3 linked regions of the Macaca fascicularis genome follow. The protein of the gene in region 1 purifies or fractionates together with the protein of each later gene. This does not show direct contact. Links are inferred from orthologs where the notes say so. Each region holds a gene or a part of one and is shown on either strand. Other genes may lie near its edges.

The links. The genes of interacting proteins can lie anywhere in the genome.
Region 2: the proteins of PML (region 1) and RPL11 purify together in Homo sapiens (affinity purification with western blotting; 3 studies listed by BioGRID, with this or other methods). This does not show direct contact. The link is inferred for Macaca fascicularis from reciprocal best matches to the Homo sapiens genes PML and RPL11.
Region 3: the proteins of PML (region 1) and ZFYVE9 purify together in Homo sapiens (affinity purification with western blotting; 3 studies listed by BioGRID and IntAct, with this or other methods). This does not show direct contact. The link is inferred for Macaca fascicularis from reciprocal best matches to the Homo sapiens genes PML and ZFYVE9.

What each region holds. Positions count from the first base shown.
Region 1 is NC_088381.1:50,970,472-50,975,488, forward strand, and holds the end of PML (protein PML), read left to right. Parts: intron 1-378; coding exon 379-1,166; 3' UTR 1,167-2,917; downstream 2,918-5,017.
Region 2 is NC_088375.1:211,420,656-211,427,126, forward strand, and holds the start of RPL11 (large ribosomal subunit protein uL5), read right to left. Parts: upstream 4,365-6,471; 5' UTR 4,342-4,364; coding exon 4,336-4,341; intron 3,575-4,335; coding exon 3,424-3,574; intron 2,400-3,423; coding exon 2,293-2,399; intron 1,281-2,292; coding exon 1,149-1,280; intron 135-1,148; coding exon 24-134; intron 1-23.
Region 3 is NC_088375.1:182,579,851-182,586,269, forward strand, and holds the start of ZFYVE9 (zinc finger FYVE domain-containing protein 9), read right to left. Parts: upstream 4,365-6,419; 5' UTR 4,222-4,364; coding exon of another isoform or gene 3,368-4,221; intron 3,220-3,367; coding exon of another isoform or gene 3,102-3,219; intron 1-3,101. Other genes in the region: uncharacterized protein, read left to right, coding at 3,102-3,219, 3,368-4,221, 4,465-4,506. UniProt on the Homo sapiens protein: Early endosomal protein that functions to recruit SMAD2/SMAD3 to intracellular membranes and to the TGF-beta receptor.

The DNA.
Region 1 (5,017 bases):
GGAGGAAGGAGCATGGGATGGAGAGCTAAGTTCAGACAGCTTGGGATCTCTAGTGTAAGTGGCTGAGGCTGACAGAAGACAGGAGGGACCTGGATCCATGGAGTTTGGCCAACTCTGGGGCTGGTAGTGAAGAAGGGGAGAGCTGGATCCCCAGCTGGTGAACAAGGTGTTTGGAGGGCAGCCGAGCCTCCCCTTCTGACTGCTATCCCATCAGAACCAGGGTCAGAGCTGCATTTGGGGGCTGATGTGTGGCTACTGCCAGCAGGCCCCAAGGTGAGGTCTCTAGATAGTGGGTCAGCAGCCCTAGAGGACCCCCTGCTCCCACTCCAGAGCTCTCTGTGCCCCTGGGTCCTCACCCTGCCCTTCTCTCCTGCCCAGCCCAGAAGATTAGCCAGCTGGCTGCAGTGAACCAGGAAAGCAAGTTCCGCGTGGTCATCCAGCCCGAAGCCTTCTTCAGCATCTACTCCAAAGCCGTGTCCCTGGAGGTGGGGCTGCAGCACTTCCTCAGCTTTCTGAGCTCCATGCGCCGCCCTATCTTGGCCTGTTACAAGCTGTGGGGGCCTGGCCTCCCGAACTTCTTCCAGGCCCTGGAGGACATTAACAGGCTCTGGGAATTCCAGGAGGCCATCTCGGGCTTCCTCGCTGCCCTGCCCCTCATCCAGGAGCGTGTGCCCGGGGCCAGCAGCTTCAAACTCAAGAACCTGGCCCAGACCTACCTAGCAAGAAACATGAGCGAGCACAGTGCCATGGCTGCCGTGCTGGCCATGCGTGACCTGTGCCGCCTCATCGAGGTCTCCCCGGGCCCCCAGCTGGCCCAGCATGTCTACCCCTTCAGTAACCTGCAGTGCTTTGCCTCCCTGCAGCCCCTGGTGCAGGCGGCTGTGCTGCCCCGGGCTGAGGCCCGCCTCCTGGCCCTCCGCAATGTGAGCTTCATGGAGCTGCTGAGCGCACACCGCCGTGACCGGAAGGGGGGCCTGAAGAAGTACAGCCGCTACCTGAGCCTGCGGACCACCGCGTTGCCCCCTGCCCAGCCTGCTTTCAACCTGCAGGCTCTGGGTACCTACTTTGAAGGCCTGTTGGAGGGTCTGGCGCTGGCACAGGCTGAAGGAGTCTGCACCCCTCTTGCTGGCCATGGCTTGGCAGAGAGGGCTTCTCAGCAGAGCTGAGAGGAGGGGGTGACCATCTTGGAGTCTCTGGTGGGCAGAGAGGGATGGGGTCCCTGAGCCAGGCCCCACCCATCACAGCATTCCCAGGTCCTGGTACCCAGCCCTCAGTTGTCATTTGGTTCAGAATCAATTCCCTTTCTCTGGGACCAAATTTCTCTTCTCTAAAAATCCTACAGAGAAGGTTCCAAAGCTGAGCACCCACTACCCCAGGTGTGCACCAGACTCCTAGCCCCCTCCTTCCAGGAGCCAGAACCAGGGAGGTCTGGAGTGAGGAAGTCATGACCTCTGGGCTCTCTAGGTGGCCCTGGTCTTGCCCCATCCATCCCACCTGCCACTACCTTGGGTGTCCTTACAGCTCAGTCCTGACCCCAGCCCCTGCCCCAGGACACCTGTTGACAGCTCCCACAGAGAACAGTCTGAGGTGATGCTGGCTACAGCCCCAGCAGCCCATGGCAACTCAAAGTGCCTTCCAAACCAAACTGCCCCTCATGAGGTTAGGGTCCCCCACCCTCCACCTGCCCAGAGGCCAACTCTGTTCCCTTCTTTCATCCCAGAGGGGCCTCATCAACAAAGACAGAAACTGATGTTCCATGCACGTCCCTGCTTCCAAAGCCTGACCTTCCAAAGCTTGCTTCCTTCCTCCTGGCTGCACAGACACCTCTACTTGGCCACAGCTTTGCTCTTTGGTCCTCAGGCCACCAGACCCCTCACAGCATGGCCCTTGGCTCTTCCTGCACTGCCCTCACCCTCAGCCGTCCCAAGGAGTGCCCAGCACTACTCAGTATGTAGTCCAGGACCTGCGGCATTAGCATCCCCTGGGAGCTTCTTAGAAAGGCAGACCCGTGGACTCTACTGCAGGCCTCTGGAATCAGAATCTTCAGGGTGGGGCCCAGCAGTCTGTGTTTTAACAGGTTCTCCTGGTGATGCTGGTGCATGCTCAAGTTTGAGAACCGCTGCTCTCATAGACAGCTCCTCCAAGGGGAAGCAGTGTGGGACAGGAGAGAAAGTCCCGTCCCTATCTCTGACTGCGCAGTGAGTGTGGCCTAGGAACAGGCCCCTTCCTAAGCTCTAATGTCCCCATCTGTAAAGTGGACTGATTGGCCTCCATGGTCTCAGAGCTGCCATCCCTCTGTGCCATCCTGCAGTTTTGGGAATGGAAAGCAGGCCTCTGAGGCAGTGGACAGGAAGCTTTCTCATCCTTGAATTCTAGCTCCCATTCCAAACTGTGAGTCCCCAGCATTGTGGTCACATCAGAGGTCAACAGCAGAGCAGAGGCAGGTCGGGGTTGTCCTCTCTGATTAGCAGAACAACGGACCCTTCCTCCTCCTCCCTCCCTCCCATCCCTTCTCATTGGCTCCCTGCTCCTGGGATGCTTTCCAAGACCTCTAGCCTCCATGGCTGATGACCTCAGCTTTCACATAGGTGAAATGTGTGTGCCCATACTGCAGCTCCATCCCATGGGGGCCCTGAAGACCCACTGAGGAATTCCACAGGGTCTTGTTCCCACAATTGGAGTGCTGGCTCTAACAGTGAACTTTGATGCATTTAAAATAAGATTCTGATGCCAGACTGTTAAAGCAGGCGCTGGTTCTGAAGCACCGATGGAAATAGATTGATGCAGATGGAAGGAGGAAGGGAGACTGGGCCCACTGATTTCCAGCCCCACCATGTGCGCTGTTTTCAGATGTGACTGAGGGGTGTTCTGCCTGCCTCCACTGTCACAGTCTTTAATAAAGATGTAAATCTTGAAAGCCTGATGCTCCAATCACAGACTCTGCTCAGCACCCCCAGAGGAACCACTGAGAAGCCTTTTGCCTGGATAGGAGGGGGCTCTCCCAGGCATAGGCTTGTGGCCACTTGTCCAGCACAACTGTGTTTTGTGGGGCGTCTTTTAGGACTTAGCAGAGCTGAGAGCCCTTTGTTGCTCAGTGCTGTGAGCCTTAAGCATGTGAACCCCCATAGGACAAGTGGGGAGACCCAGGGTAGGCTTGCCTTGGGATCATCTCCAAATGGGAGTGCCACATGGAGGGAAAGAAACACCGATTTCAAGAATTACTTCCTAGAGAAAGTCAGGAACCAGAGACCAGAGTCTGCAGGAACTTTGCCACTGCCCCTCACTGGCTAGTCCTGTACTTCTCTCTGTGTTCCTTGAGTGACAAGTGGTAAAACCCTTAAAAAGGGAGGTGGAGGCCCAGGACTTTGGTAACAGGTGATGAATGTGTTGTCTTGGCCATCACAGATGGAACTTCAGTTAGTACCCGAGGGATTCCCATGGCACAAGCATTACAGGAATTAGTCCACCACTGGTGTGGGTGAGCAGCCAGGTAATGGGAATTGATCAGTGCCACCACCCTTGACCCCAACTACCATCCCAGATGCCCAGATTCCAGTCCTGGAGTTTTATTCTCAGCTTGACCCTTTGACCAAGAAGATCCAGTCCCAATACGTCACCTGTGCTTCATCTTTGGACTATATATCTCATGTCAGCTAATGGGAACTTACTGGGTTAGAAGTCAGGATGCAGAGTTTCAATCCTCACTTGGTAGTAGTCTGTGGCCCTCTTTGGCACATTTACCTCCCTCCTTGATCCTCAGGCCACACCTCTGTCAAATGGGATAATGTGGCTCCTTTTGACTTCAAGGGATCTTTGTGGGAACCGGTGAGAAAATGTGTGTGAAGATACCTTTTTGGTGTATTTTGAAAGTACACAAATTTAAGATCTTACTGCTTTATAAAGTGCTTTATGAATTATAGGAAAATAAACACATTTTAGATCTTAGAAAAAAACAAAAACAAAAAAAGTGGGCTTGTCTTCAGGGTAGCAAAGAACAAAATCTGGGATGAACAAACAATTGTGGGGGTCCTGGGGTCTGAGGGAGCCAAGATCAAGGGGCCCACCATGGAGGGGCTGGGCAGGAGGTGGCACTGTGCTCCCAGAACACCCAGATGGGACATTTCAGTCACTGGGGCCCAGAGTAGAGAACAAGCTTCCTGTGTGGCAGCTCAGCCAAGCCGTGCTCCAGGGTCTCCTTCTGAGGCCCAAGGGCCTCACACCCCTGGGAAAGTCATTTAAAAATCTGCTTTGCCCCCTACCCCAACCTGGCTCTTAGCTCCAGCTGCTGTCCCAGACCTGGCCAGGCTGTTCTCCCACCCTCTACCTCCCCTTGTCTTGGCCCATGTTCACCCTTCTCCCTGCCCATGTCCACCCTTCTCCCTATCCCAGCCTCACTCTGACTCCTGGCCCCAACCCTGACCACTCTTCATGCCTCAGAGTCTCCCCCTCAGCCCAGCCCTGCCAGCAGGCCCCATCTCCTCCTCTGACCTCAGCCTTGTCTCCACCTCACACCCCAGGTGCCTCCAGCACGTATGCCTGAGTAAGGGGCTCCCTTCTCACCTTTCTTCATTCTTCACAATTAAGGAAACTCCACGGCTAGTGTGCATACCACCCAGGCTGGGATGCACCAAATGTCAAGTCAAAGAGGGTAGGACACTGGGGACCCTGCCTGGGGAGAAGGGGAGCTGAGCTAGGGCTGCTTCCAGACTCTGCCAGCAGCAGAAGCTGCAGCCCCCACACAGTGCCTGGCAAAGGGCATGAGCCACGGTGGTGCTGGTGGTGCTGGTGGTGCTGGTGGTTTAGGCTCCGTCACCTCAGTCCTTTCTAAAGTTCTGTGTGCACTTCCTGTGGTATAACTGTAGATATGAGATAACTGTAGATTATCTATCAGTTATGTAGATAACTGTAGATATGAGACATGTGGAGGAACATTTTTGTTAAATGTTAAACCTTTTATATTTATTTTAACATCTGTTAGAAACAATACAACCAGGCCGTTCACGGTGGCTCACACCTG
Region 2 (6,471 bases), on another chromosome or scaffold:
CACTTGAGATAAATCAGCTTTACCTTCTGCTGGAACCAGCGCATGGCCTCCTCTTTGCTGATTCTGTGTTTGGCCCCAATGCAGCCTGTCCTGCGCTTCTTGTCTGCGATGCTGAAACCTGGCCTACCCAGCACCTGTCCCAGGAATAACCAACAGTCACCTAGCCAGCTCAGAGTCAAGAGCAGATGGACAAGACTCAACATTACAGACAGATCTTCAAGAGTCACTTGGCAGCCCGGTGGATTCTGGAGCAAGACCCCTGATCTCAGTGTCTGACAAAGCTGCCACCAGCATCTCACACAACACACAGCCATACTATAGGTTTGCTATGGAGGCTGGAACTTTCAGCACCTCCCCCCAACCCCAGCCTATCTTCCAGTGGTGCTGAGGATCCTCCATTCCTGCTCCCCAATCTCCAAAACATTTTAAAAAATAACATTTAAAAATCTATAGCCACACCAGCAGTGTAGAAAACATAAAACTCTGAGAAGCACAAATATATATCTATATTTTCTTCCTTCTGCTTCAGCTCAAAAGTGCTTCCCAAAGGTGTGCGGTTCCTCCAACATCCTGTTAATATCCAATTCTTATTACTTGTCTGTCTAATGAGGGTGTCACCATCTTTCAGGTTCCACGCTAGTCAGGACTTCTGATTTAGGCTATTCAGTTTTTATTGTTGGACCAAAACACGGCAGTAACACAAAAGGTCATTTCTATGTTAAAACCCCCTTCCTGATCAAACCACTGCATCACCCAAAGCTGTTTCTATAGGAAGAATCAGGGGAAGAAGAGCCTCAGTGCAGCCAAACCACAGACCAAATGTGGCACCAATACTGCCTCTCTCCAAAGTTTCAAATCACTGGCTGGAGGGAACAGTTTCCTTCATCCACCTTTAAGCCATGTGGGTGCTTTACAGATCCTGGACTGCAAGCTCTCCAACAGCAGGGATCTTGTCCATCTTGTTCAGTGCTGCACCCCTACACTTGCCACAAATGAGGCACATATTCCCAACAGGGAGGAGAACACAAAGGCAGACAATATTCAAAGCTGCAACTCAACATGTGAACACCAACATACCACATATGAAATAAAATAAAGATTCCCCTCTCCTCACAGACCAGGAGCGGGAAAAGATGAAATATTCATACCACATAGAAGTCCAGGCCGTAGATACCAATGCTTGGGTCATACTTGATGCCCAGATCGATGTGTTCCTGGATCCCAAAACCAAAGTTTCCAGTATCTGAGAAGTTGTTTTTTCTTAACTCATACTCCCGCACCTGTGGAGAAAAATGCAGCAATAACATTCCTCGTCATCATCTCCCTCCCACCCCCAAATAACTATTAATAGCTCAGTCTGCAACATGCACCCCAGAGCAAAAACAGAAGTCAATAGGCCGGGCGCGGTGGCTCCAGCCTGTAATCCCAGCACTTTGGGAGGCCGAGACGGGCGGATCACGAGGTCAGGAGATCGAGACCATCCTGGCTAACACGGTGAAACCCCGTCTCTACTAAAAAATACAAAAAACTAGCCGGGCGAGGTGGCGGGTGCCTATAGTCCCAGCAGCTTGGGAGGCTGAGGCAGGAGAATGGCGTAAACCCGGGAGGCGGTGTTTGCAGTGAGCTGAGATCCGGCCACTGCACTCCAGCCTGGGTGACAGAGCGAGACTCCGTCTCAAAAAAAAAAAAGTCAATAAAACTTGGCTAGGAACACAATCTGACTTCCTCACTACACCCCAACTACCCAAAATGACCTCTCCCAGCTTCCAAAGAACAGAGAAAAACCCAGAGAAAGCAGAGGAGTGAAATGACTCCCAAGCATCCTTTTTTTTTGGACAAGAGTTTCACTCTGTGGCCTACGCTGGAGTGCAGTGGCACAATCTCAGCTCACTGCAACCTCTACCTCCCGGGTTCAAGCAATTTTCATGCCTCAGCCTCCCGAGTAGCTGGGACTATAGGCGCCCGCGACCAAGTCTGGCTAATTTTTATATTTTTAGTAGAGATGGTGTTTCACCATATTGGCCAGGATGGTCTCGAACTCCTGGCCACAAATAATCTATCCTCCTTGGCCTCCCAAAGTGTTGGGATTATAGGCGTAGAGCCACTGTGCCCAGCCTCAAGCATCTCTTAAACCACCAAGAATAGTTTAACCCTGCTGATTGTAAAAAGTATTTTAGAAACTTAAATAATAAATGTCAAGGCACCAAAGAACAGAACATTAAATGTAACTTATCTACTTGTGTTATTAAGTGGGTGCTCATTAATATCACTCCATTAGGGGATTAGCCTCACCTTTAGACCCTTCTCCAAGATTTCTTCTGCCTTGGCCCCTCGAACTGTGCAGTGGACAGCAATCTTTTCATTTCTCCGGATGCCAAAGGACCTGACAGTGTATCTAGCTGCAGAAAGGGGGTAACAAGGAGTCAGATGCCATCACACCCCCACTACACTCACCTCCTTCCCAGAACACCATCTCCATGACTTAAAGAGGCATTAAGTATTCATCCACACTCTAAGTTGTGGTGTTCTAATTAGTGTCGCCTACATCTATTAATAAGATTTCATCCACAGCAGATTTTCCCATTTCCAGACATCCAGCCATCCTTCAGCAGTTAAGAACAGTCATAATGCCAAAGTTCCAAGAAGGGCAAGTTCACAACCAGAATAAGCCAAAGAAGTCACTAGTAAGATTATCATGGTCCAAAGAAAATAAAGCATTATTGACAATAATCTAGTACTTGCTAAAACCTTATTATTATACTGTTGTCCACATTTTATACGTGAGGTTTTGAGAGGTTTATTAACTTGCACAACTGGTAATAAAAAGCAGGATTGGAATCCAAAGACTTGCCACATTTCACCATCCTAAAGCAACGGCACATATACAACTCATTTTATCTTCCACAATTATCAAGTATTACACCCTCTTTATGCAAATAAAAAAGCAGAGGTCCAGAGAGCCCAGAGTCAGACCAGCAAGTGGTGAAGCCATCACTCAAACCCAGGCAATCTGTATACAACTTTTGAGATAGGGTCAACCAGGCTGTAGTGCAGTAGCACTATCATAGGCCACTGAAGCCTCTCATGCTCCTGTACAGCCCTGTTCTTAAGGCAGCCTATATAACCCTAACTGCTAATCAGATCTAATGATCTTTACTTCGTTCCTGATATTTCCACTCTATCTCATATCCTAGTTACTTGGGAAAATCTTTACTTGGGCTAGCCTTAGCTTAAGATCTGCTCATATAAAATCCAGTGTTCCAATCCCACATGCAATCTCGAAAACAAAGACACTTTTTGGTCGGCTCATGAATTTAACGCTTTAAGTGATGCCGACTGTCACTTTCTAAACAGACTCGACAGCAGGTAAATTAAACAAACAGGCGACCCAAGTGGGTAGCCCTGTCATTTGTCACTACTCACCTTTGGAAAACACAGGGGTCTGCCCTGTGAGCTGCTCCAAAACCTTGGCAGCTCGGGTCAGTCTGTCTCCACTCTCCCCAACACAGATGTTGAGACAGAGCTTGCGGATGCGAAGTTCCCGCATGGGGTTCTCCTTTTCACCTTGATCCTGCTGCAATGGGGAAGAGCAGCAGTCAATACACTCACAGCTGAGAGCCCTGAGTTTTTACTACTTTCTATCTGCACAGCATTTTTATTTCTGCTCATCCCAAATCGTAACGAAGAAGGTATCACCGTGTTTGGGAGGCATCAAGGAACGAAGTCAGCTCGGGACCTATTCTTCCTCCACGAACGGAACAGGTGAAGAGAAAACTCAGGACAGGTATTGAGTGTTAAAGGTTACGGACACTGAGATCGAACTCTAAGAGGCTCAGGATAACAAAGAGCGCCCCCACTGTAAGGGAAACTAAGGGGAGTAAGCGACGGAATAGAACTTAACTGCTAACAGGAAACACGTGGTTATGCGACGTTCCGCATCCCACTCGGAAGCTGTCTAAAGGCTGGCACCTTCCCTAAGCCGAGCACCCGGCTAAGGTTTCCTAGCACTCAGCAAGTCTCAAGTCCCCGGAACCAGGAAAAGGCGCGGACCCTTGCCTCAGAACCCTCCATTCACCCCATCTGCCCTAGCTGCAGCCTCCTGACAGTGCTTCTGAGCTCTCCCGGCAACTGCCCGGAGCCGCTCCTAAAATGATGGCAGGGAAAGTGACAGAATTCAACCCTGCGTCCTTGGCTCGAACGGCTCTGCCAGTTTTGGGCCGGCAAGCATTGAGGGGTCCATACTCCTCGGGCTGCAGGCGAGGTAGCCCCCGCAAGCTCGGCCTGCCATGGATGGCGACGGATAAAGAAAAGCAAATCCAGATCCCAGCTACTCACCGCCATGATGGAGTGCAGGAAAAGAAAACGGAGCTTCCGGCCCAGGGCCTTATGGGCCAGGAGGCGGGCTTTTTTCCCAGGCTAACCACAGAGATCAAGAAGAGGAAGAGAGGCGCATTTGGCTGCGCAGTGCAGCGTCGGCTTCCCCCTTGTGGGTAGGGCTAGCAACTGCAAGCAACGCTGGCTGAAGACCGGGATTTGGGTTTTCCAAAAATAGTTTTTGAAAGCTCCTAGAATCAGCACGACCTTGAGTTTCCGGACCTTGAAGACGTTCTCTCCTCCCAGTGTCAGGTGCTGGTGGTGCTTGTGTGATGAGACCGCCAAAACTACATTAAATCAATCATGCAAATTATGACGCAAATTTATTCTGTAGCTGGGATTATAGGCGCGCACCACCATATCTGTCTATTTTTTTTGTACTTTTAGTAGAGATGGGGTTTCACCATGTTGGTCGGGCTGGTCTCGAACTCCTGACCTCAAATGATCCACCTGCCTTGGCCTCCTAAAGTGCTGGGATTACAGGAGTGAGCCACCACGCCGGGCACAAATAGAATTTATACAAACGGAATGGTGTGGTAGCTCAAGAGTCCCGAGCTTGAAGACAGGCAGATGTGGTCCTGTCTCGATCAGTTAGTAGCTATGTGACCTTGGGCAAGTTACTACAGGGTGAGTATTCCTAACCTGAAAAGCCTGGGACCAGATGGTTTTTGGATTTGGGATTTTTCCGGATTTTGGAATATTTGCATAAACGTAATGAGATATCTTGGAGATGGGACCCAAGTCTGAACATGAAATTAACTTATGTTCCATATACACCTTATACACATAGTGTGAAGGTAATTTTATACAATATTTTAAGTAAGTTTGTTCATGAAACAAAGTTTGTATACATTGAACCATCAGAAACCAAAGGTGTCACTATCTCAGCCACCCTTGTGGACAGTCTCTGGTTGGTTGGCCTAACCATTGTTCCAGACTGTAAATGTATATGCTACTGATAAGCAATACTTTCTTATGCTTATTCACATATGAGTACTTCACAGCAAAATATATGCTATGCCATTAATACCGTGAAAAAGTAATGTGTTCAGGGCAACTAAGCAGCAGAGGAGCATCACCGGAAAACCTGGATCAGCTGTGAAGCAACAGCGACCACCGGCCCCCACCCCACCCGCCACCAGGCCAGCCGCTGTGGCTCACACCTGTAATCCCAGCGCTTTGGGAAGCCGGGGTGGGTGGATCACTTAAGGTCAGGAGTTCGAGACCAGCCTGGCCAACAGGGTGAAACCCCGTTTCTACTGAAAATACAAAAATTAACCGGGCCTGGTGGTGCATGCCTGTAATCCCAGCTACGGGAGGCTGAGGCAGGAGAATCGCTTGAACCTGGGAGAGGAAGCTTGCAGTGAGCCAAGATCACCCCACTGCACTCCAGCCTGGGTGACAGAGCGATACCCTGTCTTAAAACAAATAAACAAACAAAAAACAGCTACCACAAATGGCAGGCTTTCAGTCTCCACCTATGATGCAGTGTTTTGATTAAAAGATTACTGGACACTGTAATTTTTTTTAAGGTGAGAAGAAGCATCAGAAGCAGTTGTGGGAGCAGGAAGTGGGTCCCCTAGGGAAAAGGAGGCGTTCTCCTGGATGGCTTTTTAAAATGTTTCCTCCAGAGTCATCTGCGTTTCTTTTCTTTCTTTTTTATTTTATTTTTTATTTTTTGAGGCACGGTCTTGTTCTGTTGTCCAGGCTGGAGTGTAGTGGTGTGATCTTGGCTCATGGCAGCCATGACCTCCTGGGCTCACATGATCCTCCCACCTCAGCCTCCCACGTAGCTGGAACCACAGGTGCACACCAACATGCCCGGCTAATTTTTAAAATTTTTTGAAGAGATGGGGTCTTGCCGTGTTGCCTGGCCCACAAATCTTTAAAGATGTAACATCATGTTTCGTCTTAAATTTCTGCAACCAGCCAGGTGCAGTGGCTCATACCTGTAATCCCAACAGTTTGGGAGGCCAATATGGGAGGGTGCTTGAGCCTAGGAGTTTACGACCAGCCTGGGCAACATGGCAAGACCCTGTCTCTACAAAAAACTTATTAGCCTGGCATAATGGTGTATGTGTGTGTGTTCCCAGCTAC
Region 3 (6,419 bases), on another chromosome or scaffold:
GAAATGTACATTTATTGAGCACCTCCTGCATGACAAACACTGAGCTAATTGCTTTCGGTTACTTTTATCTCATGGAACCTGTTCTACTTTGCTGGGAGGGGTAGTGTTACTCCAATAGTACATAAGAAACTCAGAATCTAAATGTCACATTGCTCTAAGAGGTGTGGTAAGGATTCCTGCTCACATCCGACTCCATACTCTGTACCACATTATGCAATTAACAACCATAAAACACACATATATACACCATCCCTTTAGGAACATAAGAACTTAAGCTAAAATCCAGGCAATTATCTTTTTTTTTTTTTTTTTTTTTTTTTTTTGAGATGGAGTCTCGCTCTGTCGCCCAGGTTGGAGTGCAGTGGCCGGATCTCAGCTCACTGCAAGCTCCGCCTCCCAGGTTTACGCCATTCTCCTGCCTCAGCCTCCCGAGTAGCTGGGACTACAGGTGCCCGCCACCTCGCCCGGCTAGTTTTTTTTGTATTTTTTAGTAGAGACGGGGTTTCACGGTGTTAGCCAGGATGGTCTCGATCTCCTGACCTCGTGATCCGCCCGTCTCGGCCTCCCAAAGTGCTGGGATTACAGGCTTGAGCCACCGCGCCCGGCCTCAGGCAATTATCTTTTAAACAAGCTTTGTGCCTTGCAACCAGTCTGTGGCTAGCACGTTAACAAGGTGCCAAATAAAAGTTTACTGAATGGAATGAACGGTGGTAGCTTAGCAACAGAGGAAGGAATTACCATCTCTACTCACTCTACCTTTCTAAAGGAGTTAATACGAAACTATCACCAGGCAAAATAAACAATTATTTCCTTAAACAAAACACTGAATCAGGAATTGGAAGAGAAAGGAATAATCATATATAAAAATTATTATCAATGTCCTTAAAGGGCAAGATGAGACACAGACGCCTTAAACAGAGATTTAGTACGTTCCACTCAATTACAACACTTGTCTGACCTACCTTGTAACAGTTAATTAAAGGTATTCTGCTTCCACAGGACAAGTTTAGTAGAGCCCTTGGTCATTTTTGTGTTTCCCAGAATACCTACAACAGGATCTGGCACTTAAAAGCCAAAACTCCATAAAAATATTTTACAGATTGTAATACCTTTTCAGATGTATTTATCCTAAAAGCCTTGCAAGGTAAGCATAATAACTGAAGTATATGCATTTTATAGACAATGACATTGGTGTCCATTAAGTGCCAAAGTAAATAACGAGGTGTTCTATCACACCACAGCTATCACAGGAGGCTCTCAATAAATGGTTGCTGATTGGATTAGCTGTCCCTCAAAATATCATTTTTCTTTCTAAGATTATTTACTACGAGAAATGACATCCTTTGAGCTGGAGCTGCAAGGAAGTGGGAAAAAAAAAAAAAAAGAAATGACTATTGCCACTAAAGATTTGTAATTTTGCTAGAAAACAGACACCTTCCTTCGGCTCAGCAAGGTTAGTTAATTTTAAATTTACTGTATCAGTGATTCTCAAACTTCAGTAGGCCTAAGAATCAGGGAGACTGATAAAAATAAAGTTCTTTGGGCCATTGTCATCCCTAGAATTTCAATTCAAGGGACCAAGAATCCATATATTACATATAATACCTATGTTATATATATAACAAGCACTCTCAACTGATTCTAATGTTGGTGGTCTTTAGGGACACACTGAGAACTGTATTCGACTGAATTCGAACTGTATTCGAATGGAGTATCGCTCTGTTGCCCAGGTTGGAGTCAGTGGCCCAATCTAGGCTCACTGCAACGTCTGCCTCCCGGGTTCAAATGATTTCATGCCTCAGCCTCCAGAGTAGCTGGGGCTACAGGTGCGTGCCACAACACCCGGCTAATTTTTTTTATTTTTAGTAGAGACGGGGTTTCACCATATTGGCCAGGCTGGTCTCGAACTTCTGACCTCGTGATCCACCTGCCTCGGAGGGGGGCATCTTGCTTACATTGCCCAGGCCGGACTGGAACTCCTAGGATCAAGGGGTCCTCCCAATTCAGCCTCCCCAGTAGGCCTAGCCATCACACTTTGCCTGAATTAGACTTTTAAAAATCTAAATTAACCTACCAAAATAACTGGTAATCAAGCCAATAATTAACAGAAATACTTAAAATCTGACAAAAACAATGCAAGCCTACAGCATGTAAGACAGTAGATCTTCAAAAACGTGTACCATGCCAAACTTTCTCCCTACATGGAGACCCCATGCTGCATAGAAAGTTAAGTTAGGGATCTTTTAGGTAGTTACCCATATTCTTCTGTTTCAATTGATGAATTCAACTACGGTTCCAATGTAATTTGGTAAAATATTTTTATAGGTCCTATACAAATGGCAATGTAAAATGGAGCAGTCAGATAATTTTAAACCTAATATACAGAAATAATTTTAAAAATCACTGTCAGTACAAGCCCATTATAAACCTGTACTGTTTACAATCTGTGAGATTATGGGTGATTTCTCCTATTATTATTTATTAAGAGCCAACACGGTACCTTTCCATACTTTCCAAATTTTCTACAAAAAGCATATTTTTTCATGATTATAAAAGTTTTGCAAGTACCTATAAGTCTTATAACTTTCACACACATAACAGGAAACCAGGAATAACCTGTAATCACATTTCTCACGAAACATAAATATCTGACTTACGGTATCAAACTGTAAGTACTAACATTTTCCAACATTAATATCAGAACAAATCATTTTATTTCTAAAATTTAGTATGTGTCCCATTTCCTTCAGGTATTTATTAGAGTAGCTGGCACTTAAAGAGGACTTAAAATCCTCTTGCCAACCATTATCTGGATCTCTTTAAGTGGAACATTTTCGTACCGAACACTGAAGCATAAAAATATTTCCTCTGGCGGCGGGGGGTGGGGGGGAGGACAGACCTTTGTAAAAGACGTTTTTATAACTGTGAGTGTTTATCTAGAAAACTTAGCATCGCAAAGATGCGATGGGGCTTTCTCCAAGGCAGACCACGCTTAGAGACAAGATACAATACAAGGAGGCTGGGCTGAGCAACCGGCAGGTGATGAAATTTCACCTCAAATAAGACGCAAAAGGTTGTTCTCGAGCAAGTCAGATCCATGAATGACACTCCAGGAGTACCACGGGCTCTCTTGGTCCCGCACTCTCTGCACCCCAATTCTCACCCTGGCCGCCTTCTCCTCCCCATTCCCCCGCCACTACCGGGATTCTGAGGTACTCGGTATGGGACGCGGGGAAGCCAAAGCTGTTTGCAAACAGGCGTCATCTACCTCCCTCTGGGATGTACGTGCAGGGCCCAGGCTAAGAGGCTGCGCTCGGCCCGGGCCCGTGCAAACCCGAAAGGCGGCCGTGCTCCTGCCGGCCCCCAGCTCCACACACCGGGCCGCGCCGGAACCGAGGCCGGGGCGAGGGCTTCCCAACGGCGCGGGGCCTAGTCGCCCCCCACGGCCTTCAGCCTCCCGGGGGACGCAGGCAGAAAGGGCTGAGGCCCCAGGACCGCAGAGTGGGGGAGGCGGCCGCAGTGGCAGGACGCCCCGTCCGCCCGGCCCGAAGGCTGCCGCCAAGGCCCCCACAAGCGGCGGGAGGCGGGCGAGCCCCGGACCGCGCCGCGCCACACTCACCTCGAGCAGCGGCCGCCTGCGCTTCAGCATGGCCAGGGGGGTCGTCCCTGAGCCGAAAGCCTCCTCCGGAGGGCACCGGCGCGGCCCCAGGCGCCACCGCGAAACCTCCCACTCCTGTAGGAGCTGCGGTAGCTGCGGCTGCGGCTGCTACTGCTACAGCTGCTAAGGCCCGGCACCCGCCCAGCCGCATCGGCGCCCGGGCCGCGGCAGCCACGCGGATCCCGGAGGAGCGCCGCCGAGCCAGGCCGGGGGCGCAAGGCTGCGGCGGGACGACCGAGGTGCAGCAGGCGAGGATCCTCAGCGAAGCCTCCAGCGTCGGGTGGCCGCTCCTGCCGCCGGCGCCGCTGGGCCACAGCGCCCCCTGGACCCCACGTCCGGCTACGGCGTCGGGACTGCGGCGGCCGCGCCGGGCACGAGCCGCAGGGAACGCTAAGGAGCGCGGCCTGGGGGCGGCGAGGGCCCCGCGCTCCCTGCGCAGCCCGCGGCCCGCGGCCGGCCGGGGACTCCACTTCCCGGGAACCGGAAGCCCCTCAGTTCCCACCAAACCCTTGACGTTCCCCGCCCCCCGCCAGACCCGAGCACCTTTTCCTTCTCTCCCGAAGGTACGTGAACGTTCTTGTCACTCGGACCCGCACCTGAGAGCAGGAATGTAAGGGAATCCCTTCGTTTGTCTCTCCCGGCTTCGGGGGTGGCGGGGAGACCCCGTTCTAATCCCTTTAATGCGTCTGGATGAAAGAAGAGTGACCCAGAACAAACCTTTTTTTCAAACATATACACACTCCTCTCCCAAAACAGACGAAGGAATTGTCTTTGACCTTAACTTTTTTTTTTTATCCACTGTGTAGATCATTACAGAAATTTTCTACAGATACCAACCAAACCCTTAACACCTAAACCACCACCCCCACAAAACAAATATGAAAATATATATGTATATATATGCCCAGCCAGAGAAGAGAATAGCCAAAGGGTTGTCCTGAAATTCATAAACAACTTAAAGGTAAGCAAAGAATCACCCATCTTTTACTAACACCCTCCCCGTCCCAACCTCTTCTCTCCCACCTCCACCCCTCATCCCAGCCGAATCCTAGTAATGCTCTGAAGGAAGGAAATTATTACACAGTGGGGGCTATGGAATCATTCTGTTTACAGATGCCCCATATTTGATCCCAATCAGCCTCTAGGGTGCAAACGTCAGAACCAAAAACAAACAAGACTGTCAAAGGGGAAGTAGGGAAAGATAATTCTCCAAATCCTCTGATCCCCAAATTTTCCAAATACACTTTTTTGACAGAGTGGTGGTATATTAGAATGTGTAGTGACTTTGGTGTCAGACGCATACTGACACTACCAGTTCCAGTTCTGTCATCTATAGCTTTATGACCCTGGGCAAGTTATGTAACATTTTTGAACCTCAGTTTTCTCCTGCCTGCCTTGCTGGTTGTTGTGCAGATTGGAGATAAAGAGACTGGCCCATAGAAGATACTCAATAAATGCTAGTTCCAATTTTTATTGGTTCCAGTTCTTTTTCTTAGGCTCAATTTTGTACTCATCTGTTTTTGTTTCTCATTCTCTGTGTGTGTGTGTGTGTGTGTGTGTGTGTGTATATGTGTGTGTGTAAGTGTATTCCTATCAAAAGATGGATGCTCCATTCTTCATCCTCCCTAGTCTGGGTGCAACTTCCCTAAATTTCACTAATGGGTTTATGTAACACCCCTCTACAGAAGAATAGAGCCTCATGCACTGGATCCTATGACATTCTATTGTACAGCAGATATCAGCATGCAACCAGTATTTTTTATGTATAAAAAATGTTATAAGGCAATCTCACCTTACCTTAGGTTATGGCCTAATGATGATAAATAATAATGAGAAACTACAGGAATCATTCATTTAATAATTGAGCAGCCACCACAGAGAAGCTGTCACCTAGTAGCTCTCTTAATGAAAGCTGTTCCTGTATAATCCTAACTGTGCCTTTGCCACATACTCCTGAGTCACAAAAAAATCACTATACCCTTTCTATAACAAGAGAAACTGGGGCTCTAAGGGAAACCGTGATTCATCCTCGCAGTGATTCTATGAATTAGGTGCTATGCTACCACCATTTTACATGTGAAATACATCCAACCTAAGGAAAAGCTGTAAGTAGACCCTGAGATTCCCTTCAGTCCCCAACCTGATGCCCCAACAGTGCTTTCAGCAATATTAATAAAATGCTGTAAGGGTCATTTGTTGCTACAAAATTTTCAGTCGAGAGAAATGGGCCCTTCTACTGATTGAGATCATTAACTCTGTAACCTAATATTAGCACTGTATTTTTCATGCCTAGATCACTGCCACCACAGGAAACCTGCATTTGTTTATGAATAATCATGCAACCCAGGGCATAGCTACTACATGAAGAAGATGATTCATTTGTTCCCAAGACCAGTTTCCTCTTGCTTCACACTTTCTCTCCTTGTTGCTGAAAGCAGCTGCCTTTATCATCACCACCTCCTCCCCGATCAGAGTAGTCCACTTTAAATCCTTTCATACTCTACAATTTCATTCCATCGTTTTCAGTTTGCCTTCTGCTCCTAAAATGTCTCTCACCTGTTTTCCTCTCTTCTACTGTAAATCTCTTGTTCATTTTAATCTACTTTGGCCTTCTGTCAATTGATTTGGCTACCCTACTCTCAATTTTGCATTGATTTCCACTATTAGCTAGCAACTGTAAAATGTCTCTGTATTCCCAACCTGGTAGACCTCCCCACTTTCATTTTTATACTGTCTACATCCTGTAGAAAGCCAATATTCT